Linked DNA regions of Arabidopsis thaliana. The protein of the gene in region 4 interacts with the protein of the main gene of each other region in a pairwise test. Each region holds a gene or a part of one and is shown on either strand. Other genes may lie near its edges. The genes, in order: AT1G06790, MEF21, MEF9 and MORF9.

Evidence for each region.
Region 1: the proteins of MORF9 (region 4) and AT1G06790 interact in a two-hybrid assay, tested with the Arabidopsis thaliana proteins (one study listed by BioGRID).
Region 2: the proteins of MORF9 (region 4) and MEF21 interact in a two-hybrid assay, tested with the Arabidopsis thaliana proteins (one study listed by BioGRID).
Region 3: the proteins of MORF9 (region 4) and MEF9 interact in a two-hybrid assay, tested with the Arabidopsis thaliana proteins (one study listed by BioGRID).

Annotation. Positions count from the first base shown.
Region 1 is NC_003070.9:2,084,148-2,090,709, reverse strand, and holds AT1G06790 (RNA polymerase Rpb7 N-terminal domain-containing protein), read right to left. Parts: upstream 3,529-6,562; 5' UTR 3,346-3,528; intron 3,068-3,345; 5' UTR 3,066-3,067; coding exon 2,955-3,065; intron 2,852-2,954; coding exon 2,756-2,851; intron 2,409-2,755; coding exon 2,321-2,408; intron 2,150-2,320; coding exon 2,065-2,149; intron 1,945-2,064; coding exon 1,875-1,944; intron 1,791-1,874; coding exon 1,701-1,790; coding exon of another isoform or gene 1,671-1,700; exon of another isoform or gene 1,498-1,670; coding exon 1,423-1,497; 3' UTR 1,263-1,422; downstream 1-1,262. Other genes in the region: PLA-I{gamma}1 (alpha/beta-Hydrolases superfamily protein), read left to right, coding at 1-564, 923-1,172; GAUT6 (galacturonosyltransferase 6), read right to left, coding at 3,857-4,132, 4,473-4,994, 5,128-5,485, 5,631-5,902, 6,153-6,223, 6,311-6,392, 6,483-6,524.
Region 2 is NC_003071.7:8,841,981-8,847,681, reverse strand, and holds MEF21 (mitochondrial editing factor 21), read right to left. Parts: upstream 3,532-5,701; 5' UTR 3,523-3,531; coding exon 1,918-3,522; downstream 1-1,917. Other genes in the region: AT2G20550 (HSP40/DnaJ peptide-binding protein), read left to right, coding at 569-987, 1,196-1,631; PHB6 (prohibitin 6), read right to left, coding at 3,895-4,089, 4,223-4,435, 4,533-4,703, 4,815-4,931, 5,218-5,382.
Region 3 is NC_003070.9:22,996,390-23,002,801, forward strand, and holds MEF9 (mitochondrial editing factor 9), read right to left. Parts: upstream 3,441-6,412; 5' UTR 3,408-3,440; coding exon 1,437-3,407; 3' UTR 1,366-1,436; downstream 1-1,365. Other genes in the region: AT1G62250 (orotidine 5'-phosphate decarboxylase), read right to left, coding at 1-93, 183-308, 405-614; SLAH4 (SLAC1 homologue 4), read right to left, coding at 3,929-4,198, 4,275-5,102.
Region 4 is NC_003070.9:3,844,407-3,850,588, reverse strand, and holds MORF9 (plastid developmental protein DAG), read right to left. Parts: upstream 3,370-6,182; 5' UTR 3,317-3,369; coding exon 2,955-3,316; intron 2,179-2,954; coding exon 2,081-2,178; intron 1,984-2,080; coding exon 1,918-1,983; intron 1,824-1,917; coding exon 1,651-1,823; 3' UTR 1,365-1,650; downstream 1-1,364. Other genes in the region: AT1G11440 (uncharacterized protein), read right to left, coding at 80-1,171; DUF2 (agenet domain protein (DOMAIN OF UNKNOWN FUNCTION 724 2)), read left to right, coding at 3,717-4,151, 4,244-4,645, 4,751-4,837, 4,927-5,046, 5,114-5,198, 5,323-6,008.

The DNA.
Region 1 (6,562 bases), 1.8 Mb from region 4:
CCCGGCCGTAAAAGCCGAATCCGGGTTTCTGGATCTATACACGGACAAAGATACATCCTGCAATTTCTCCAAATTCTCGGCGCGAGAGCAGGTTCTTACGGAAGTGAAGCGGCTGGTGGAAAGGTACGGCGACGAGGAAGGAGAAGAACTGAGCATCACCGTGACGGGACACAGTCTCGGCGGTGCGCTGGCGGTGCTAAGCGCGTACGACGTGGCGGAGATGGGTGTGAACAGAACGAGGAAAGGAAAAGTGATTCCGGTGACGGCGTTCACGTACGGAGGACCGCGAGTTGGGAACATTCGATTCAAGGAGAGGATTGAGAAATTGGGAGTGAAGGTGTTGAGAGTGGTGAACGAGCACGACGTCGTGGCGAAATCGCCGGGACTGTTTCTGAACGAGCGTGCGCCACAGGCGCTAATGAAATTGGCGGGAGGATTGCCGTGGTGCTATAGCCACGTGGGAGAAATGCTGCCGTTGGATCATCAGAAGTCTCCGTTCCTTAAGCCCACCGTTGATCTTTCTACGGCTCATAACTTGGAAGCTCTCCTCCATCTCCTTGACGGGTCAGTCATTCTTCTTTTTATTACTTTTTTACTTTAAAAAGTAATTTTAAGATTTCCAGCTAATATTTTGACAAGTCAAAAGCCTTTGAGGAGACAGATCTCAATGTCCACATTTTCCAACACCATTTCTTTATTAATACGATTTTCAAAAATTTGGTAAACATTATTGCCTCATCAAATGCCGAATGGAGAATAATGGGGTCATTTAGTAATCTGATTTACGTGGCACTTCTTTCTTTCATGGGTAGGTTGGAGAGAATTTAATTATCGAAAACTACTAGGAAATAAATTTGTCGTTTAGAGCATAATAGTATTAGTATGAGTTGATGAATCTGGATTATTGTTTAAAAAAACATAGGTATCATGGGAAAGGACAGAGATTTGTGTTATCAAGTGGGAGAGATCCAGCGTTAGTGAACAAAGCATCTGATTTTTTGAAAGACCATTTCATGGTCCCTCCTTATTGGCGCCAAGACGCAAACAAAGGGATGGTGAGGAACACTGACGGCCGTTGGATTCAACCTGATCGCATCCGTGCAGATGATCAACATGCTCCTGACATACATCAACTCCTCACCCAACTCCATCATCCATCACAACTCTTGTAATTTATCGATTTTTTTTTGGTTTTTAATCTTCCTAATTTGTGTCATTGCCTTTTTACATTACAGATAAACAAAATTGAACGTCCCTATCTTAGTGAAAACCCGTGCATAGTTTAAAATAAATTTTAAGTTTTCATCAAAACTGGCTTGATCATCATCTGTTAAAATTTCATCTGACAATGCCTAGACTAAGTCTCGGTCTCTCACCCTTCTTGATCAACCTGTTCATAAGAATCCCACCTGTTTCGGTCACTCACTCTTCTTGATCAACCTGTTCATAAGAATCCCACCAAGAAACAGGACCCAAACCATCATCATCCATATTCCCCTGCGCAGTACACAAGATTGATTGACCACTGGACCGACGTAGGAAAACCAAAACAAAAAATCATGGTGTCTCAAAATAAAAGTTAAGTATCTATAAGAGAGGAGGGAATCAGGAGGCTTATCTGACCTTACTTAACTAGCGTTGTTTATAATGCATATACAAGTGGAAAAGTTTCAGAGAATGAGTTTGATGAATGAACTTACAGTGACCACCATTGGAGCAAAAGGCTTTGCGTCCTCTGCTCGCTCAGTTGGAACTGATGGATAGCTGATGCTCTCTACTCGAAACTTGATCTGCCATTTACAATGCCTCGTTATAAAAACATACCACATTCAGATAATTATGCTTAAAGATACATGCAGGAACCAAAAATTCACCTGACAGGCATCGTCAACAATATAGTCTTCTTTCGGTTCTCCATATTCCCACACCCATATCATTTGCTTCCTGTGAACCAAAAAACATTATACTTTGTGATCAAATGATATATAAAGATGTTGGTGCAATCTCCTACTCATAGTTGGAGAGCTGGTAGTACTACATAAACTGCAGGACACATATTCTTACCTATTATAAGGGTCAGGCTCACAGCGGTTGGGTTTCGGCATAAGTGGAGCAGGCACATAAATATCGTCAAAGAATCCAAGTGTTACTGCCAAGTATAGAGGTACCGTAAGCATGTAAATGATTAACCATATCCATGATTTCAAAGTATTAATCCAATTCATAAGTAGCTAATAAGCTAACAATGTACTAGAGTAGCAGGATGCAGACAGTGCACAACATTGGAATTCTTCAGGGAACAGTATAATAAAGTACTCACAGCGCAAGCCATTGGCGTCAGATTCTTTGAACTTTGCAGCTATGACCTCACCAACAAATGGACGGAACACAACAATTCTAAGACCTACCTACAATCACACAAACAAAGTATTAACAACACGACATGAGATATTGAATCAAGGCAAGATAAAACTTTTGAAAATAAAATTCTTAACCAAAACCGTACAGTGAAAGTTAGACTAACAGATAACGATTCCGAAGAACCAAAATCTCAGAATGGTTTGAAACTCTAGTACGGTAATGATGAGTCTACAAAGATGTAACTCAATACAGTGCAGAAAGTGTGCAATACACGGTGATAGGTCAACAATGATGCCACTAACAGTGACATTGGGAGGCCATAAAATTGATATAAAAAACCATGTTCAACTGATAAAAGAATAGAGATGAGAAAAGATCAGCAATTTGGATATACCTTATAGGTCGCAGCACCATCACCGGGTAACACAAACCCTCCTTCTACTGATTTAATGTCGTAAATAGATACACAAAGCCCCAAATCAGCTAAAACCTTTCATAGCAAAAATCCACTTTGATAAAATTAGCCAGGTGTGTATATAAATAAGCAAACAATGGATACCATAAAAGTGAAAGAAAAAGGGCAATGAGCAAACCTTGTCCAAGAACACATTTTGAAGCACTGACTTAATGGCATCTTCGAGAGGGAGATTAAGTAGATGCGGAGGCACTCTTAGTGAATGTTCTAGCTCGCTAAGATAAAACATTTCTGAAAATTTTGTTCAAAATTCACAAGTCAGATGCATGGAAAATTGGAAACAAACAATCAAAGAAGTAGAATTCGAATAACGAATCAGACAAATTCGGAGCATTCTTGGTCATTAACATGCATATCATCAAAAGTTCCAAAATTCAAATCTAAAATTCATTAAATCATAGTACGTAATAATAGCCCAATCCTCAAGATTAAGCATGTGCAGAGCGTACAAAAATCTGCCATTGTCATAACTATACGAGAGAACAAAACTATCTAAAATCGGGCAATACCTAAACCATTGAAGATAAGATGGTCTCGAAGGGAACTCGGAGAGATGGTGATGAAGACAACGATTAGACGGAAAAGTGAGAAGTTGGGAATAGATTGGAAGAAGAGAGAACCTACTAATCGAGTGAGGAAGATGCGGAAGAAGAAGAACGATTTAGGGTTTAGTTATTAAAGTCAAGAATTAAAACAAACCGATCGGTTTGTCATCGTTACGCTTATAAACCGAACCGAACTGAAAACCGCACTCTTTTTATTCATACCGGTGGGCCAAAAAAGGAAATTGGGCCAAGTCCAAGGTATGACAACAATCTGTTGCTGTCAGCCTGTCACTATAGTCTAAGTAATATTAAGCTCTGATGAAAAGTGTGAAAAAAGAAGAACCAAGATATACACTGATGTGGGATAAAGAATGAAGCTAATCATAACATTGATATCATGCTTGAGTAGCTTGTTTAACAAAAAGAATCTGAAACTGAACCTAAGTTGCCAGATTTTTTTTTTTTTTTTTTCGTATCAAGCTTGAAGATTGCACTGTTGCAAGTAGGTGTGATGGTAAGGGACGTGTATGTTCCAGTAACGTTTGTAATTCTCTTTTCCAATGTCCAACCACGGCTTCATGACCCCATCGTAGTGTATAACTGCCGCTTGTTCGATGTCAACCGCTTTGACTCCTGATTCGCGACCTAACCCCATCACATGCCATCTCTTGTCCAATGCTAATGTTTGCCTATAGAAAGTCAACCAACCTATTGGTAAGCTCCCAGCTTTCCACAATGGTCTCTTTGTTCCCTGCCAAAAAAACAAATTCCCCAAAACCATTGTTAGGTTTACGCCCATTACATAGACAAGATATGTTGTTGCTTGTAACCATTCTTCTTCTAGGAGATGATCTTTAGCACTAGCTTGCTTATGTTCTTTGCTAGTTACAGCAATGTTATTTGTGTTCTAAATTCAAAACCTTTCATCCTCGATATAGCCAACCTAAAACCTAATAATTATTACAATCTTTTTCATATATAATGACGAATCAACAAATCTAAGAACCCATTTGAAAACTTTGAATATGGCTACAGTGTTATTTCCATAGGGAGAGCAAGTGCAGTAGAGTGTGTGTGTGTATATAGCGTACCAGGTTGAAGTATTTTATGTATGTAGAAGTCAACTTCCGTATTCTCCATTCTTCGAGATCAATTAGATTCATCCCGAAAGCCCATGTGCAAGCTCTAGGACTAAATTTCCCAGCGACCCATGTGTCTGAGAAATTAATAAATGTGCTCATTGATCGAAATGAAGATTCACCTTCAAGACAAGTCTCTACAGCTCCAACCACCTTTCCTTTCATATCAATGCTCCACAGTCTACTTAAATCTCTTTGAACAACTACATCATGGTCCAAGAGTACCATCTTGTTCAAACCCGGGAATATATCCGGGAGATAGAAGCGTGCGTGATTGAGTGTAGAAATGAATCTTGGGTCATTAGAGTTTTGCTTCATCAGTAATTGATCATAATCTCTAGGCAGGACATCCATATCATCAATGTTTAGGATTTGGATAGTAGCTTTACTTTGAATGTTTAGCAGAAACCACATTGAGATTGCTGGGTAATTAAGTGAATCAGTCACGACATGGAAGACTATTCTTTCTGGCTCCTGCAAACAGCAATCAGAAGCCACATTAATAAGTGGCGGAAGTAAATGAGAAGATATAGTGTAAGACACTCTAAAATTAGGTATAACATATAATGATAACCAAGTAGAAATTTGTATAAGAAATGCATGATACCTTTGATGAAGATATCGTAGAGTTAACAACGACTGAAGAAGCCAAAACATTGTCAGAGAAGACAACATAATGATTGAAATTAGCGTCAAAATAATTTTGCTGGTTAGGCATCTGCCTTTTTTCAGGATCCAGTGAAAAGTATTCTGATGTCAGCCGCATTGAGAGACAGTGAAGCCCTTTTGGGGTGGTCCTTGCTGCAAGCTGCATTAGATACGCTGCTTGATTTTTCTGCGCCTGAACTTGTTCTTCTGTGTTATAATTCATGGCACGGAGTTTGGTAGCGATGGCAGGGCAATTGTTAAAGACACGACTAGCCTTATATAACACATTTTCCATGGGCTTCACCCTGCGGAGAGCGCTGAAAGAAACAATCATGTCAGAGGTTACTAAAATAATATTCTTAAACAGCACGACTTTTGGCACTAAAAGGTTGTAGTTGTAACAGCAAATTTCTGAATGCAATTATGGTATGTTCTCCTTTTGAATCAAGCAGTTGTGCTTACCCCTTTGATAAGTCCTTGTCCTTTGTTGCATCACCAACAGACCGTTCCAGCTCTTTCAGCCGACCTCTCAACTCCTTCACAACTTGAGAGTTACTTCCAGGTGGAGCGAAATTCAGGTAGGCTTTAGCTTGAATAATTTTGTCTCTGATCTCCTTCGTTTTCACATCTGTTGCTCTGTCGGGCTGAACCCTTGTGTTCTTTTCACCCTTAGATAAAGGGGGCTTGAAATCCGTTTTATTAGCAAGTTGGTTGACTGTTGGTAGAATTTGACCCTGACACAAAAAAAACCCAATAAATTGTAATCATGAAACATCTAATAATTTGATGGAAAGTGAAACTTGGCTTTTCTATTCCTTAGATAAACTAATCAACATGGACCGCAATGACTTGTAATCTGATTCTAGGATTCAATATCGGAGTTATTCCATACCCTGAGCAATCATCAAGTTCATGTTACTTTATATCAGCTGGACTGATCAAGTTCATGTTATCTTCAAATCAGTTGTATTTATATATACACACCTTTTCATCAGAGCTAACTGTCATCTTCTGTGAAACAATCACTTGTTCTTCCCTGTTTTTGTAAGTATTACCTACAACCCATGATTACGACAGATAAAAAATCTGAGGAGTTAATGACATCAGAGCAAATCAAAGCAAGATTGAAAATATGATCCCACCACCATCACTTTCAGCAGACGAATTAAACTCCCCATCCTTGAAGAGAATGAGCCTTGGCCCCTTCAAGCCTTCTCCATCCTCCTAAATCACAGAGAGAAAAAACTTCAACAAAACGCATGGTCAAAAGGTTTTAAGGAGATGACCTAGAGGAACCTGTAACTTCCAACTTACATGTTCAATAGCGCTAAGTCTAAGGTCATTTGTCGTGAATCTCTGCAGAATAATGGTAGCATGTCAACAACAGTGTATTG
Region 2 (5,701 bases), on a different chromosome or scaffold from region 4:
CGACTGATCATACCACATTTCGAGTACTTTTCAATAAGATCATTGCAAACACCAATTTGTTTTAGAATCTTATTCTCTCTGCACACAACATACATATGGATCCATTTGCCAAGCTCTAGAGATCCAAGATGCTCACACGACCGGAAAACAAAATAAATCAGTGAGACTAGAAATGAGACTGATACTAGTTAATTGCATTTGCCAGAAAAAATCCCTGGCCTCTACAAACACCAAATCGTTCTACATGTACGTGTCTTCATTCATCTCTCTTTAATTAAACCAAGTCCGGTTTGCGCCGGTCAATAATGAAGTTGGTTCAATACTTCGAGCACTCTTTATGTAGTACATAAACATTATGCTTTCTCTCCCCTACTTTACTCTCGGTACAGTTCATCCTTGGTCATCATCATCGTCCTACTCCCACAATCCGGTGATTATTCTCTGCACAAATCACTTTTCTCCTTTCCTCAGCTCACGGTGAGTCTCTGGAACGGATTGTACTAATCTCATTATTTTCCCGGTTTCAGAACGATTTCTGGAACATTCATTCCACACTCTGAGAAGAAACATGAGTCACCCGAGAAATGCAGATGATATATTTTCTGAGTTCTTTGGGGTCTCTAGACCTTCTGGTCCTTCTGGTCCCAGAAATGCGGATGATATATATTCTGAGTTCTTTGGGGTCTCTAGCCCTTCTGGTCCAAGAAATAAGGATGATATATTTTCTGAGTTCTTTGAGGTCTCTAACCCTTCTGGTCCGAGAGATAAGGATGATATATCTGCTGAGTACTTTGGGGTCCCTAGCCCTTCTGGCAGTGGCAGCAGTGGAGGCAGAGAAGGAGGAGGTGGTGGTGGTGGCACAATGCATCACGGTGGAGCTAGGAAGGCAGCTCCTGTTGAAAAAAAGTTGCCTTGTAGCCTTGAAGATCTTTACAAAGGAACCACCAAGAAGATGAAGATCTCTAGAGAGATTGCTGGTGTCTTTGGGTAAGTCATGACCATTCCATTTCTTATTTGTGAACACCAAGTGGAACTCTTTAGGTTAGCCACTCATCTTAAGAAAGCGTTAGTTAGGGTGTTCGTTTGGCAATACATAATGAAAGCAGAACATTGATCATACTTGATAACCTTGTTGAGTGGCAAAAATCGCATATGCTGACCAGTTTATGTGTTTTCTTTTGAAAAAAACTTGCAGCAAGACGACGCAGGTACAAGAGATTTTGACTGTTGATGTGAAACCGGGGTGGAAGACAGGCACAAAGATCACATTCTCGGAGAAAGGAAATGAGCAACCCGGTGTGATACCAGCGGATTTAGTCTTCATCATAGATGAGAAGCCTCATCCGGTTTTCACTCGAGAGGGTAATGACCTCGTAGTCACACAGAAGATCTCAGTTCTCGAGGCCTTTACCGGCTACACCGTCAACCTGACTACACTTGATGGTCGGAGACTGACCATCCCAGTCAACACTGTGATCCATCCCGAGTATGTGGAAGTGGTTCCAAATGAAGGAATGCCGTTGCAGAAAGACCAGGCTAAGAAAGGCAACTTGAGGATCAAATTTAACATCAAGTTCCCTACAACGTTAACCTCAGAGCAGAAGACAGGATTGAAGAAACTTCTCGGATGAATGGAGTTAAAATCAGCCCAGTCCAGTTAAAATCAGCCCAGTCCAGACAAAACAATGTAGAATACGAGAGGAAGTATCAAAGCTCCTATATATTGTGATTAAATACTGTTGTGGCCTTTCTGATCGATTTGTAGCATATGTATGAATGAGTACTGTTGTGACCTTTATGATCGATTTGTAACGTATGTATAATTAAATACTGTTGTATATTTCTGATCGATTTGTAACATATGTATGATTGAAGACGCCTAATAAGTTTGCTACTTCTTCTATAATCCAAACGCTTCTAAACTATGCCTATAAATGCAAGAGCATTGTTGTTTGTAATCACATCCTGATCTTGATGTGAAGTAAACAACTGCAGCACTATAGATATCTCAGTCCAAAAAGGTTTACTGTTATCTCCTGAAACGAATTCCTGAACAATGTTGTTCACTTCTATCAAACTACCACCTGGCGTTTTCTTCATATTTTCGTTCCTTATCATCTTTCTCAATCTCGAAACATCCTCCCATTTTCCCAAATCTGCGTAAATATTGGCAAGCAAAACATAATTTCCCATATCCTCCGGCTCTAGCTCCACAAGATGATCCATTGCAACCAGAGCAACATCAAGATTGCCTGGTGTTCTGCAAGAGCTCAACAATGAACCCCATATCTTCGAGTCGGGTTTCATCGGCATTGTCTTTGTTATTTCAACAGCTCGTTCTAGTTTTCCTGCTCTTGCCAAAACATCAATCAAACAGCCATAGTGTTCGATCTTAGGTTCTATTTGATAATCTTGTCTCATCATATCAAAATACCTCAACCCTTCTTGCCACATACCAACATGTGAACAAGCTGATAAAAGACCAAGAAATGTGATCCCGTTAGGCTTCACCTTCGCTCTCTGCATTTCATTGAATGTTTCGATTGCTCCGTGAGCGTTCCCGTGATATGCATACCCAGAGATCATCGTACTCCATGATATAACATCTTTCCCTTCCATTTGGCCAAACAATTGGATAGCTTGACTAATCACACCACATTTCGAGTACATTTCAATAAGAGCATTGCAAACACCAGTTTGTTTCAGAAACCCTCTTCTCTCTGCATATAGATGGATCCATTTCCCAAGCTCTAGAGATCCGAGCTGCGCACACGACGGTAAAACAGAAATGAGACTGATCTCATCAGGCTCAATACCAGCTAACTGCATTTCACGGAAGAAATCCATAGCCTCTACATAACAACCAATCCCAGTATACCCAGAGATCATCGCAGTCCAAGATACAATAGTTTTATCTAGCATCAAATGAAACAAGCCTTTTGCTTTCTTCATCTGCCCAAGCCTTGCATATCCAGAAAGCAAACTATTCCAAGATATAACATCTCTCTCATACATTTCATCAAACACTTTATGTGCATCAACAAGATCATCAAACTTCATGTACATATCAATCAATGCATTCTCAGTCACAACATGGAACCTAGGCCCGAATTTGCAGAGATGACCATGAACTTGCTTCCCTAAATAACATGATCCAAGACTCGCACAAGATTTAAACATAAACGGGAAAGTGAACCGATCTGGTAACTCAAAGCTCTTCCTGAGCAGTTGCTTGTAGATTCTGATCACATCGCAGTACAATGAATTGTGAGTATAAGCACGAATTATAGAATTGTATAAGAAGACATTAGGATTCGATACTTGGTTAAAAAGACGAGTTGCATAATCCATATCTTCAATCTTATCACAAAAATCCACCATTTTAGTGACCATGAAGCTGCTTTGTGATAATCCATGTATGATGATGGAGGCATTGATCTTCTTCCATTCATTGCGGCTTTTGACTCGCTGTAGAAAAGGTATAAAATAGTTTTCAACTTCTCTGATTCCATGAAACGCCATTAAAGCTAGATTAGGAAGCTCGTGGTGGTGGAATCAAATTGGCTCCGACCTAACGTCGTTAAACCCAGATGTGTGTCTCTCGGGGTTCACCAAACTTAGGCCAAAAGCCCAATTCTCATTTTCAGGCCCATTTGTTTGATCTTTTTCACAGCCTATTTTCCAGCTTTGTGAACATCATTATTACCAAATGTAAACAACTTGTAAAAACATAAATCTTTTCTTTTCTTCTTGATCTCACAAAAGAAAGACTACAAACGCACGATAGTGTCTGAAATTCACAAGATAGAACTCATAGCTTTTGGTCTAAGAATCCGTGAATTGAAAATACGATTATGGAAGAAGAGCTCTGGTGTGGTTTAATCATATCATTCTCTACTTCTTCGGCTTCACATCAAGGTCCATAGCCTGTAGGTTAAGCAACAGATCGTTAGAGCTCAAGTAAACCTTGTTCGCCGACCTAGAGATGGTCTGTGCGATCTCTCTAGCTGCTTCGATCTTCCTCAGTGTTAAGAACGCTTGGTTGTTTGCGATTGCTTGACCAATGAGCTGAGCACTCTTGGCTTCTCCCTACATAAACCCATGCAGAAACATCAGTTAGCAAGCTTTAAAATAGTTCACAACAAAAAAGAAAAAAAAAAGCAAGCTTTAACACAATCTCCGGTTTTTAAAATGCTAGAAAAGAGAGAAACACTTTTCACACCTCGGCGCGGATAACAGCACTTCTCTTGTCCTGTTCAGCTTTCTCGACAATGAACTTAGCCCGTTCGGCCTCTTGAGCAGCGACCTGCTTTCCTTCTATGGCTGCCGTGAACTCCTTTCCGAATGTCAAGCCTGTGATGGACACATCATCCAGTGCAATGTGGAAGTTTGCGGCTCTTAGAGTTAGGATTTTCCTGATTTCTCTACTCACCGACTTGAAAAACACCAAAAAAACATATATCCATTAAAAGGGACATCAATTTACCATTGAAGAGGAATCAATAAAATGTATTTACAGCCAGTTGGCTAACCTCTCTCTGAGTAATAAGTTGGCTTGCGTTGTACTGAGCAACCACAGCTTTCAAGGTCTCGTGGATGATAGAAGGCAAGACTCTCTCGCGGTAATTCTCACCAAGGGACCGGTATACCTCTGGTAATTGGTCAGCCATAGGACGGGTGAGAACCCGAAGCCCAATCTTAACCTGAATGTTTAAATACCACACAACATAAGCTTATCATGTAGTTCACACGACAAAACCACACGACCTGATTATACCCATTAGTATTAGAAGTGATGAAATGAAGCGGAATACCATCTGGAGATCACGGCTCCCAGATGTGCTCTCAACTAGATAAGGCTTTGCACGAACGTCATAGATGATTGGCCTTTCGAACCATGGAATCATAAGGTGAGTACCCTCAGGGTAGACCTACATAATCAAGCAAGCAAAGATATACTATTAATGGCGCATCAAGATGACTTTTGTAAACGACTATCAAAACTAGACTAAGAAATCAACCTTGTTTACTTAAGCTAGATGCGGCAAACACAAGATTCACTACTAACGGTAAGCCTAACCTAACGTGAGCTATATGCCGCAAACATAAGATTCACTAGTAATGCTAAGCCTAACCTAACTTCAGCTAGATGTCACAACCACAAGATTCATTGTCAATATACAGATTCAGAAGAAACCAATTTTTGCAGGGACTAACCTTGTCTTTGATACCAACAAGCCGGTTAAAGACAATGGCTCGATGACCTCCATCGACATTGTAGAGAGTGTGCGTAGCACCGTAAAGACTGAGCCCCCCAATAACCACCGCAGCTATAACACCACCACCAGGACCTTTGGGAACTTTGACATTCTTAAAATTCATCTTTTCACGAACACCTGCAAATTTGGAACCCAATCAAAATCCAAGGCAGAAACAGATAAATAGAGAAACGAAATGCGTTTGTAGATTAGACCCAAGGAAAACTTGGATCAACGAAAAAGAGACAAAGATAATCTGCAAATTAGCTGAAACGAAACAAAAACTTAGATCACAAAATTGAAGCCGAAGAATCTGAAGCTTTACTCGCTTAAACTAAGAATTCGATCTATAATGAAAATGGCGAGAGGAAGTACCTGAAAATTCTGGAAATGGCGTGGAGAAGAGAGAAGAGAGGGGTTAGGGTTTAAAGCTCAGAAATCAG
Region 3 (6,412 bases), about 19 Mb from region 4:
TAAACCCGAATCTTTCATAGCCATTAGTTCTTTTCTCAAATCTTCATCTGTGCAGCCGAGCGCATATGCATTCACACCAGCGGATATGAATTCCTGAAGATACACACACAAACAAATTAATGAAAGATGGATATACAATCGAGAAGAAAACAAGAATGACTCAAATAAAAAAAGGAAGTTACTTTTAAGGTTTCGCCTTCACCGCGTCCAATCACGGTCCTGTAACGTCTTAAAAGACTTATAGCTATGTTGGGTGATGAACGGTACTCATCATCCGATGAAATCGAGTTGTTGCGTGAGTTACAAAACTTGATGAAATCAAAAGAACAAACACAAAAAAACTTAGGAGCAGTATACAGATGGATGTATAACTTGCCGAAGAGACGAAAACTTTAATTACTAACCATCCATCTCCTTCGAGGCTGAATTTGATATTTTGTAGAAAAAGATGAATGATAACACTCTACATTGCTACAAGGAACTATTGATCTTGGGGAGACAGAACAACTAATCAGAGGACCAAAAGGCGAGGTCTTGAATCTGCGCAAAGCGGCATAGCAGCTAATAGGGATTTGGAATTTGTTGATAGTTCCCGCAGGATACGCAACTAACATTTCTTAACCATATCAATGAAGCAATGCCCTTATCTGCATAAGAGAGAAGCTTTTTTCTTTGAATAACACAACTATATTAGGAATTAAGATGTGTAAGAGTCTAAGATACATTGATGTTCTAGAAAAAAAAAATCAGCTTCCCTGTTCAAATTGAAAGTTGAAACCCTAATTTCATCTCTCAATTCATTCTTAGTCCTTAGAGATATCCATAAGTGGCAAAAAAGAAAACAAATTCAAATGATTTGGATTTGGAGATTAGCTAATATTGCGATCAGAAAATTTGTATTAGCTCAAGAAGAAAATCAAAACCTCTGATCTTTGGAAAGTGTCAAGAATCTCTTAATCATACTGGACCAATTCACAGATACTTACGATCATTTAAATACATCTGAGATTAAAAAGCAAGATATGAACAAAAAAAGGCTTACCTTTTTGAGAAATTCAGAGTCAGCAATTCATATGCAAACTTTTTGTGTGTTTTAATCGCTGCAAAGAATTGGATGAAGCACAAGCTACAAGTGTAAGAGGTGAATTTGAAGCCACCAATATTTTGAATGGCTGCAAAAAGAAAAACATCAAATTTTCAATCAATGTAGACAAAGATTCTTTTTATTTTATTTTTGGGCACTGGAAAAGAAAAACAGATAGAAGCAAACAAGAATCATGGGGATTCCCAAAACGATGTCGTTGGAATATGAGTCCAAATATGATGAAGAGAATTGAGAAAAGAGAGAACTTTCAAGAGTACCTTATCAATTTCTATCTCAATTCTGATCCCAAATCAATTTTTATGTTTAAGTAAACATAAATAAAGGCTGCTTTTTACGTTGAGGAGTCAACCCAACTGGATCCTCTTTCCTTCTTGATTCTTTTACTCTCCATGTTCATTCTCACTTGAGAAGCTTCGTCCCATAGTCCCATATCCGCATACATGTTATATAACAGTACATAAGGTGTTGAGCTCTCTGGTTCGAGTCTCGACATTGCTTCAGCTGCAACATGTGCAAGCCCTACATTGTTATATATCCTACAAGCATCCAATAATGCACCCCATACCGTTTTGTCTGGCTCAAAAGGCATACTCGTTATGATATACATGGCCTCTTCAAACTGCCCTTGTCCACTGGTAACGTTGACCAGGGAAGAATAATGTTCCATCTGCGGCTCGATCTTGTACACACTCATCATGGACACAAACTGTGCTTTAGCCTCATCAACAAGTCCCGCGTGAGCACAAGCGTTCAGAACTGAGACGAATGTTATGTGAGAAGGATATATCCCGTTGCTTTTCATCGACCCGAACAGATTCAAGGCCTCTGAGGCATTACCATGAAATGCATATCCTCCTATCATTGCATTCCATGTGATTACTTCTCTTTTGAGTTTCATTTCATCGAAGATTCTCCTCGACTCCATTATTTCACCGCATCTTGAATACATAGTGATAAGGGCATTGTGGACTGGAACATCGGGGATCACAGTCTTGACAACGATTTGGTGCATCTGCATTCCTAAACGCAGATTCACAAGCCCGGTAGATGCACTGAGAAGAGAAGTTAAAGTATGTGGGTCAGGCTTCTCTCCTTCAATGTTCATCCGGATAAACAAATCAACAGCTTCTTTGTAGTCCTTGTTTTTCTCATAAGCTGCTATTATCGAGTTCCACGAGACTGTATGTTTCTCAGGTGTTTTTTCAAAGTAGTGGCGAGCAAGCTCTACATTGCCAACACTAGCATAACCCGAGACCATCATGTTCCACGAATGTGCATCACGGTTCGGCATTTCCGAAAACAGAGCAAAAGCATCTTCCATCCTGGAAACATGTACGTATCCATCAATCATTGTGTTCCAAGAAATTGTATCGCGGTCTTTCATCTGATCAAATAGCAACCTTGCAGAGACCACATCACCCACTTTCAAGTAAGCTTTGATCATAGAATTCCATGACACAACATTTTTACAGAACCTCTCTCTAAACTCTCCACCATGATCATCACCACAGAGATCAGGAATCTGATCAAACAGACATCGAGCTGCTTCTACTTGTCCTCTCTGTCCATATCCAACAATCAAAGTGTTATAAGCATACACCAAATCTTCCCTTCCTGAAACTAAACTCCCATACTGACCCAAAACCCACGCAGCTTCTGAAAGTCTCTCGTTTTTAATAAGACCAGCCACAAGTGCACATAGAGGAGACGAATCCTTCACAGGCATTTTCCGAAACAACACAACCGCGCTATCCACTTCACCGTTCTGACAAAACCCAGTGATCATAGCACTCCATGACACTGCATTTCTCTCAGGCATTTTCTCAAATAACAACAACGCTTCACCTATCCTCCGATTCTTCGCATAACCACTAATCATAGTGTTCCATGAAAAAGAATCCCTTGAAGGCATTTCATCAAACAGCTTCCTTGCTTCCTCAAGAAACCTAATCCCACCACATGAAACATACCCCGAAATCATCGTGTTCCAAGTCACAACATCTCTCTTAGGCATTACGTCGAACAGTTTCCGTGCTTGATTCATTTCACGCCTTTTCACATACCCGCTTATCATCGTATTCCATGTCACTGTGTTCCTCGCTTCCAGTTTCTCAAAAATATCTCTAGCTTCGGCGATATACCCCGATCTTATCATCTGGTTTAACTCTTTGTTCGTCGCTCGAAAACCCAAGCTTGACGAAACTGAAGTAGAGAAAGAGTTTGCACATAATAAACACTTAAGACAAGACGATTGATACAACACCTTCCTGAAAATTAACAAGACACTTCGTGATCGGATCATCGTCGTCGCCGGCGAAATTTGCAGCGATCAAAAACTAAAAAAGCCTCTAGCTTTGAAAATTAGAGTCAGGTAAATTTGGTTCAGATGATGATGTAATGGACATTCTTCGGTTTACCATGTTTGAACCGGAAATCATTTGGTTCAATTCAGATAGTAAAATGTGTCTATTGTAAACCAAATTAGCCTCTGAGGCCTGACTCCTGAGATTTGGAAGAATCAGTCAGTGGAATGGAATTGATCAGTTGATTCTCACAGTCAGGTGAATTTTGATTTTACTGTGTTTAAACCGGTAATAACTCGGTTCAATTCAGCATTTCCGGTTTTATAGTATTTGAACCGGGTTTGATATCAGGTCAGATAGTAATTAGAGTAGAAATTTCTACAAATTGTATTACATAGTAGTCTGTAGTTGGTTGATCTTCCAACTGAAATTTTTTATCCAGCTAGTTTTGTAACTACTTTTACATACATTATTTTATGGGTAATTAGCTTTGGTTTACAAGTTTCGCCATACACGATGTTTATTTGTCTTTTGGACCAGTAGAAGACCAGAGGACATGATCACGTCTAAGTAATCTTTTGCTATTTGCTGCTGTCAGTAACATCACACTGATGAATATCAAAACTGACATGGATGAGAAGATAAACATCAAGACCGAAGCGACATGGTCTTTCACCTCTTGCGCGTACTGAACCGAGTTTAAAGCGAGAAATGTGATAGGAAACGAGTAAGCCCACCATGCGACATTGAATCTTTTTATCGACTTCTTCAAAAGATTTGGCCTACAAACCTGAAAATGTATAAGAAAAAGAATGTAAAAATGTCGGTTTTCGGTTTCTTGGTGTATCGTAAAGATGTAAACTTACCAGAGATATGAAGATGAAGAGTGAAAGGAAGAATAACATCTTGGCTATAGTATCAAAGTTTCCACAAATAGAGTTCCAAGCTAGACTTGCTGTGGCGGGTGCAGCGAAAAACAAGAAGAAAACCGGTCTTAGCGTGGTTGGGAAATTGTTTCCGCCTGGTAAGCGTTGATAAAGTGTAACAAAGATGACCAAATAGTGAACCATTCCAAGTGAGAATAAGCATAGAGCACACTCTTTCCAACCCATCTCTGCTGCTCCCCGCGCAGCCACTAGGTTTGCGATTACCGATACTTGGCTTGCCGGGTTTGCCATTATCGATAAAAACCTTTTCTCTGTTGTGAACCATTGACCATAAAGCTTTGTGTCTAAAGTCAAGACTGGAACAGCAAAGATCCAGAATAGTGTCTGATATAAAACGCTGTGTGGTTCTATCATAGGAGCTGATTGAAGCAATAGAAGACATGAAATGGATGGAGCGTAAAGATAGTTCACTCCAATATAGTGCGAGAACTCTTCCTTCACCATGTCAAAGAGAAAAATACACTTGAAGGCATACAAAAAACAGAGTGATACTTGTGTTGCAAGTGCTAGGTACCACAGGAGATAATACGCCATAGACGGGAGTTCGCTATGCAAATGCACCATAATCTTCCACAACAATGCTTGGCTACATAGAGAAAGGCTTATTCTGAAATATCCCGCATGGAGACTACTCAAAACAGACATCAGGACAATGGGTTCGGCATCTGCGAGGTTAGTCTTTCTCTCTTTGCGCCTCGATATTGTGTTATCAATCATGATGTGAATTTCTTGACTAGGTATTTCCATCTCGGTATATCGATGAAATAGAGCTTATTTTGCTCTATGTTGTGCTAACCTATAAAAAAAAGAATTCATGTACATAAGCATAAGGCAGAGAAATCAAAAGTACAAAACACAAGTTAGTGTTGGACATTCAGAAACTTTTGGTAAGTTCAATAACTTGTACAGTACATATATACATATCAACATCTTTTTCTTTTTTCTTTCGACATCAACACTTTTTTTTTCTTTTGATGAAGCGAAAATTCTTCTTCAAGCTTCATGAATAAACATCAAACCATTTCAATTGCTTATATCATCATAAATTCTTTCAGCTGATTTATAACTTTAAGTATTAGTTCCTTATAATTCATACAAAGTACTAAATGAAATATAGCTTATATAATTTAAATAAACCTGGATAATTTGCAGCGAAACGATTTAAAAATTGTTTTAATACTTCAACTGTCTGTGCTTCGCCAGTGTCTGCACACAGATTGTGGTATACTAATGTCGCCTAGATTCCTGAACTGTCTTCGGATTCTGGGTTGTCGTCTTAGATCCCCATTTCATCTATAAGACTATAACCAACGTTGACCATGAGCCCTTCTCAATAAGGGAGAGGAGATAATAATGTTGCCTTACGTAAAGATTCCTTATATAAAGAATTTATGTGATCCTAATATCCCTTTTTACTACGTCACGACGGCTATACAATTGTTTTTTTTTACATACAATTGTATACTATATACAATTGTTATATTTAGAAAATCTTTATAATTAACCTTAAAAACAAGTTTAATGTCGTTGGTTGACAAAAAGATGAAAAAGAAATTATAAGCAAAGACATACGATTAGATTTTTTTTTATTTTAGTAAGATGATTCCCAAAAGAAAGATATTTTCCTCAAAATATCCATTTGGTAAATGAACGATGGTAAACAATCTATATTTGTCAAACAAGTTGTAAACAAATATTTCAATTATATATCTATTAAATTTGTATGTTTCAACTTTCAACAGATTCGTTTCTTTCTTATTGGTCTCCAACAAAACAATTCAAATTTGGAAATGTGCTACCAATCAAAATCCTAAGCTTCACAGGTCTCAATCAAGTGAAAACAATTTTTTTAATTTTTTTTTACCCAACAAAAAAAAGTCGTTCTCACTTAGATTGGAACCTGCAAGCTACAAAAAAGCCGCTTAAAACATCTCCAACCCATCTTTATTATTATTTCTATACTCTATTTTTGTCTTTATTTATCTCTAAAATAGAGATTTTAATTTTTTTTCCTAACAAATAGAGACAACCATTGAAAATGGTCTAATGGATTTGTT
Region 4 (6,182 bases):
CTAAAAAATCAGGTTCATCAATAATCAAAAGAATGTTGTTCTTACCTCACATTGACACAACTGATGATAACTAGGGTTGTTAATACATCCGGTAACCATAAGAGGAGACCTCGAACTGATTTCTTTCGCTCCGATTCTCGTAACCGTACGGATATGAATCCCCGAAAAGGTGATCGGAAGTTGTCTTCCACGGATCAGAATCGTTGCTTTCCCAGCAAGAAACAGCAGCCCCACGATCTTGTTCATCTTCCTGACGTCTTTTGTTACGTAACACACAAGGAAAGTAACCTCCAAATATAACCTCACAGAGATCGGTCGCTTCTAATCCGTAACCAGACGGAACATACAAAGCTTTCACTTCTCCTTTATCTACGACTTCATATTCCTCATTTCCATAGCTTGAACTGTGATCTTTTTCTTCTTCTTTAGCTTCCTCATCCCCTTCTTCTTCTTCTTCATCATCATCATCACCATCATCTTCGTCCTCACTTTCTTCATCATAATCTTCGTCTTGTTCTTGTTCTTGCTCTTTAATGGTTTCTATTGGTTTGACTTCTTCTACCGGTTCAGCAAAAGACACACGTTTCTTGACAACATTCTTTTGACCACCATCATAAATTCCAAGAGGAACAGGAGCAATAATCTCAGGAGGAGAGGGAGCTTTAGCGTGAGGAGCGGTTGAACAAGGGTAACAAGTTTCCACCGATGGAGGAAGAGGTTTTCCATAGGTTGCAACAACATCGTAGCCACCACCGTACGGCGTGGGATCGTATTCATCGAATTCCGGCTCGTTGAAGTCAAGAGCAGAGGCTACAGAGCAATAGATACTAAACTGAGGAGGAGATTCGTAGGTTGTATAGAGATTCGGATCATAGAACAAGTGTTTAGGCTCAGACATGGTAGAAACAGAGTAAGCAACATATGCAGAGGTTGTCTCAGACTCGGATCCATTCCAGTTATAACAATTATAACTCATTGGATCATCATAACCAGAGTAAGCAACATATTCAGATTCAGATTCAGATTCATTCCAGTTGTAATAATTATAACTCATTGGTTCGAAACCAAGCTGCTGCTGCTGTTGATTGTAATGATAATGATTTTGATCGTAGAGATTATTAACCTGATTGTAATCGTAAGGACTCTGGTAATTCTCATAGAAGTTGGCCATTTGAGAGAGCTTGAAGGATGATCTTGAAAGTCTTTCTCTGCGGTTGATGAGAGAAAACGATTCAGCTGAGCAGTGATCTGTCGATTAAACTAATTTGGAATGTTTGGTTCCAAGTCCGTGAGAGAGTAGTGTATTATTTCCATGTGATGTGTTGATAAGGTAGGGACGACTGATGTAGATGGTGAGTTGGTGACGAGTGTGTGACCCTACAATTGTTTTGTCTTGTCTGAAATTGGTGTTGAGAAAACGTGGGGAAAAAGCAGTGGTTGACAAAGAATCAAACCAAACCAAAACCGAACATTACCTAAATAAACAAATGGTTCAAGTTGAATTTCATCCTAACATAACAATAGCTATTGTTCAAGGTGTGATGATACAGTATCATCATTTGGTACTAGACGATTTTACACACGACTTCAACAAGCTAAGTGCTAACCAAAAGATCAAAACTTGCAAACACTCCATTATCTTATTATAGTTTAAGAGGAATCAGAGGCTGCTGGTTCTTGTCTTGGTTTCCTCTGTTCAGGAGGTGGAGGACCGTCTCTTTTTCTTTCGTATCTCTTACTTTGATACTTAGTGTTATTGCGCTGCTTTGGTTGGTATGTTGGGTATGTGCACGGGATAATCTCTCCATTGATGTACTTGTCGCCTAAACCCGAGAAAGAACGATTCAATTATCAGAACATGGATACTGGGAGAGAGAGAGATCCTAGAAAGTTTAAAATCAGGCTTTGATGGGTTACCTCCATAGTCTTTGTTCTTGACATCTATGTAGGAGTCAGGCAAGACCCAGAGAACTCCAGGCAAACCTGTGAAAATAATGAAAAGACAGAACGATCAGTATCTTGAAGGTTTTCGACGAACTTTCAATAAGGGGACTAAGGCTCTTCTTGCTCACTAACTAACCCTTGAACTTCTCAGATGTTTCTTCGTCGATGGTGCATTGGAATCCAGTATATGTCGTGGTACTGAATGCATACATGTTCTTCTTCGCCTCTTCCATGCTGGAAAATAGACACAAGTACATATAATAAGCAAACACGATGAACTGGTTATGCTGGAAAATGGACACAAGTACATTAATTGGTTATCACATCAGCAGGATAGTGTAAACCGGAATCAAAGTTCTCTAAAATAGAGAGTAGCACCAAATAAACTAAAGTTTTAGTCATTAGTTGTGTAACACAAACTCGTTCCCTGCCATACCAAGAAATTTCTAGTCAGGAGTCCCAATCTAATGCTCTGCACAATTGTACACTCCTTTTACATACATTACTAGCTTACACTGTCCACATCAAGTTTTTAACAAACAGAAACCATGCACAATCACCTACAATTTATACATAGCTTGAAGAAAATATGCAAAAATAGATGCTTCTATTCTTCCCCCTAATTTCATTCATAATTACGCTAAAGAGCACAAAGTTTTAGATATCAAATCAGACACCAATGTTTTGTGTTCAATATGCAGCAATGTTCAATAAGTTTGCACATATCAAGAGACGAAAAACAAGTCAGCTAAAGATTACACCTGATATTAAGAACAAATTCTGGAACTAGGTCAACTTCAGAGCAAATTTAAAGCTGAAAGCTTTACTCAGCTCACTAAACCCTTACCCTAAAGTATCATCAAAAACCCTAATCTAACAAAAAACCAAATCTTCCTATACGCAACATTGGATTCAATCAAAGGACAAGTCCATTAGCAACACAAGTAAATGTCGTCTATTAGTTAACTAATTCAACAACGAAGAGAATCAATAAGAAAGCGAAAACGAACCTGCCAAGAACAGTAGCAAGAGTGTTAAGGTAAGTATCAATCATCTGATCCCTACTTGGCGCTGGATCTTTAGGAAACTCCATTACAATGAGCCAATGATTGTAATCGCAACCAGGAAGCATAATCGTCTCTCTCTGCTCATTGCTATTGCTCCGTTTCGACGAGTAATCCGAATCCACCGTCGCAGCTTTCACAATCGCCACTCGACGCCGAGACCCAGCGGTGGAGATGTTCCGGAGCAGAGGAGTCCATGAATCGCCAACGCGGATACCAGAGAGTGTAGAGAAACGATTCAGGTGGCTTACGGGGAGAAGAGTTTTGAGGAGAAGCGAGGAAGAAGAAGTTGTTGTGAAGGAAGCCATTGCAATTGCTGAAATCGAAGAGAGAGTTTTGGAGAAGATAAGATATATTTTTACTTACCTGCTTCGTGATGAGGATCCTATGAAACGACACCGTTTTTAATTAGGCCCATTAGATAGTTTGGGCCTGATAATTTCTTAAATCATTTTCTCATAATTTCAAGCGCCAAAAAAAAAGAAAAGTAAATTGGGAAAGAAAAAAAGAAAACACACTTTCCCCGATGTGTATCGTGAATATCGACACTAAGCACAGACACAGTAGCACTGTGTTTTGGTTGCAAAAAGTCTCCTTCATATAATCATATCTATGGTTTTCGGGTTTCAGCAGAAAAGTCTTTTTTTAGATTTAGGGTTAGCAGAGCAAAAATGAGCCGTTATTAGTTTTCATTCAAGGGTTTTTGAGATGGAGCAGATGATATTCATTAGAAAAGACGACAAAGTAGAAGTTTTTTCTGAAGAAGAAGAGTTAAAAGGGTCTTATTACAGAGCGATTCTGGAAGATAATCCAACGAAATCAGGACACAATAAGCTTAAAGTTCGTTACTTGACGCAGCTCAATGAACACCGTTTGGCTCCTTTAACGGAATTCGTCGATCAGAGGTTCATTCGTCCTGTCCCGTCGGAGGATGTGAACGACGGCGTCGTTTTTGTAGAAGGCTTGATGGTCGACGCTTATCTCAAAGATGGGTGGTGGACTGGTGTGGTGGTAAAAACAATGGAGGATGAGAAGTTTTTGGTTTACTTCGATTGCCCACCAGACATTATTCAGTTTGAGAAAAAGAAATTGAGGGTTCATCTTGATTGGACCGGCTTCAAATGGATCCGACCTGATAATAAGGTATGATGAGTTTTTTTTGAAATCGTTTCGCCTTTGCATGAAAAAGTTGTTAACTTTATCCGTTGTTGTATGTTTGTTTTTTGTCTTTGAAGGAATTGGTCAAGTCTGTTTTTAGTTGCGGGACAATGGTGGAATTGAGATTTGATTGTGCTTGGATTCCGGTAATTGTCATTAAGGAGTTGGAGAAGGACAAGAGGTTTCTTGTCAAGTACTGGAATAAGTCCTATAGCTGCCGGGAATCGAAAAATTTAATTGTTGATTCCCTAAGACTAAGGCCTATGCAGCCTCCTTTATCTGTTGGAAAGTATGAATTGCTGGATCATGTAGAGGCGTTTAGTGGTTTTGAATGGCGTCAAGGTGTGGTCAGGGGAATTGTCTTTGAGGGAAGGTACATGGTAAGTTTCGGGGCAACAAAGGAGGCATCGCAATTTAATCACTCTGATATTAGGCCTCCAATGGAGTGGGAAGATGGAGTTTGGCATAAAAGAACAAAGGTAAATTGTATCACTAGTTGCAGGCAACATTGTGTTGGTTTGGTTTAATTAGTGTGACATCTTTGAGGATTAATTGAAGTGTTGTTATGTTATTTCCATTTTCAGCCAAAACGCCAGAAAGAAACTTCTTTAGACGGCAACAGAAATGTGCAGACAAAGGAACCACCGGGAAATGAGATGGCTGATGATGTGGTATATGGTCATAACCCTGCTAGTGGATTCTTTTATAACCTTGTTTGTTTTCTACGCCCTGAAATTGTTCTATGGTCTTTGTTTTCCAGAAAAAAGAATCTGGTTTACCTATAACCCTGGGGGTAACTGCAACAAAGAACAAAACCCAAGGAAAGGTATCCCCTGTGCCAATGAAGAATGGCTTTGGAAATGAGTCAACTCGAGAGAAGGTATTGTTTATGATTGTTATTTATCTTTGAGATGGCTCTCCTTTTGGTTTAACACTTCTATGCACAGATGCCTGAGGAGCCTAAGATCAAATATTATACTCGAAAGAGGAAAAGAGGAGGTCTAAAGCTCAATTCATACATCAATAAGACTGGTATGTCTTAACTCTCATTGCACATTCTGGAATGTAGGACCCGCTTGCAATGGTCTCATTGTACTATTACTGGTAGATAAGCCTTTATTTTCTCATTGTGTTGTGTATGCGTTCATCTGTCCAGTGTTATCCTCGGATCGGACCCCCAATGTGGTGAAGAATTCTGCTTCTAATGCTGAGGAAAACCATGCAAAACACACAATAATGGTTTTGCCTTTTGCAAAGAAGTCACCGGTCTGGAAGACTTATGAATCACTGGAGGTCTTCAAAAGTGTATCACACAGTCTTCATTTCAGCCCATTGTTTGAGACTAAGCAAGATTTCCGTGAAGGGTATGCAATAGGTATGATGGTGACTTATTTTGGGTTACTGGAGAAATTTAAAGATCTTGAAGCCGACGTTCCTGTAAGCCAACTAAATAGCCTTAAAGATTCATTTTCGGAGCTCGAGAAACATGGCTTCAATGTTACAACTCCATTATCACGGATCGACAAGCTGTTAGCACTCAAAGATAGACAACTATATATAATGGAGGAACTAAAAGGTTTTGACAAGGAGATGACAAATGAATTTAGCAAGGCTAAACAAGAGTTTGATGACATGGAACAAAAGATTCTTGAGGTGAAACACAAGATTATCGAGCTGCAGAGGCAAGAAGCTGCTCTAAAAGAACAAAAGGAAGCAGAAAAAGAACAGAAAGATGCAGCCTGGAAAAAGATATGTCAGATGGAGTCATGTGCAAAAGATCTCAATGTAGAGCTTGAAGATGTGGAGTTTGAGTTTGAGACAATTTTGTCGGCTCCTTGGTAAGTTAAGAAAAACAAACCTATGGTGAGCACTTTCTAAGTTGATTTAAAGATTTTTATGAGATCATTATTAATATGGTTGGTTAGTGGTTGATAAAAGTCGGGTTATGTAGAGAAGAAATGAAGCTAACCATGTAATCCCCTGTATAATGAGGCTAACTTTTCTTTTCATTAGGTA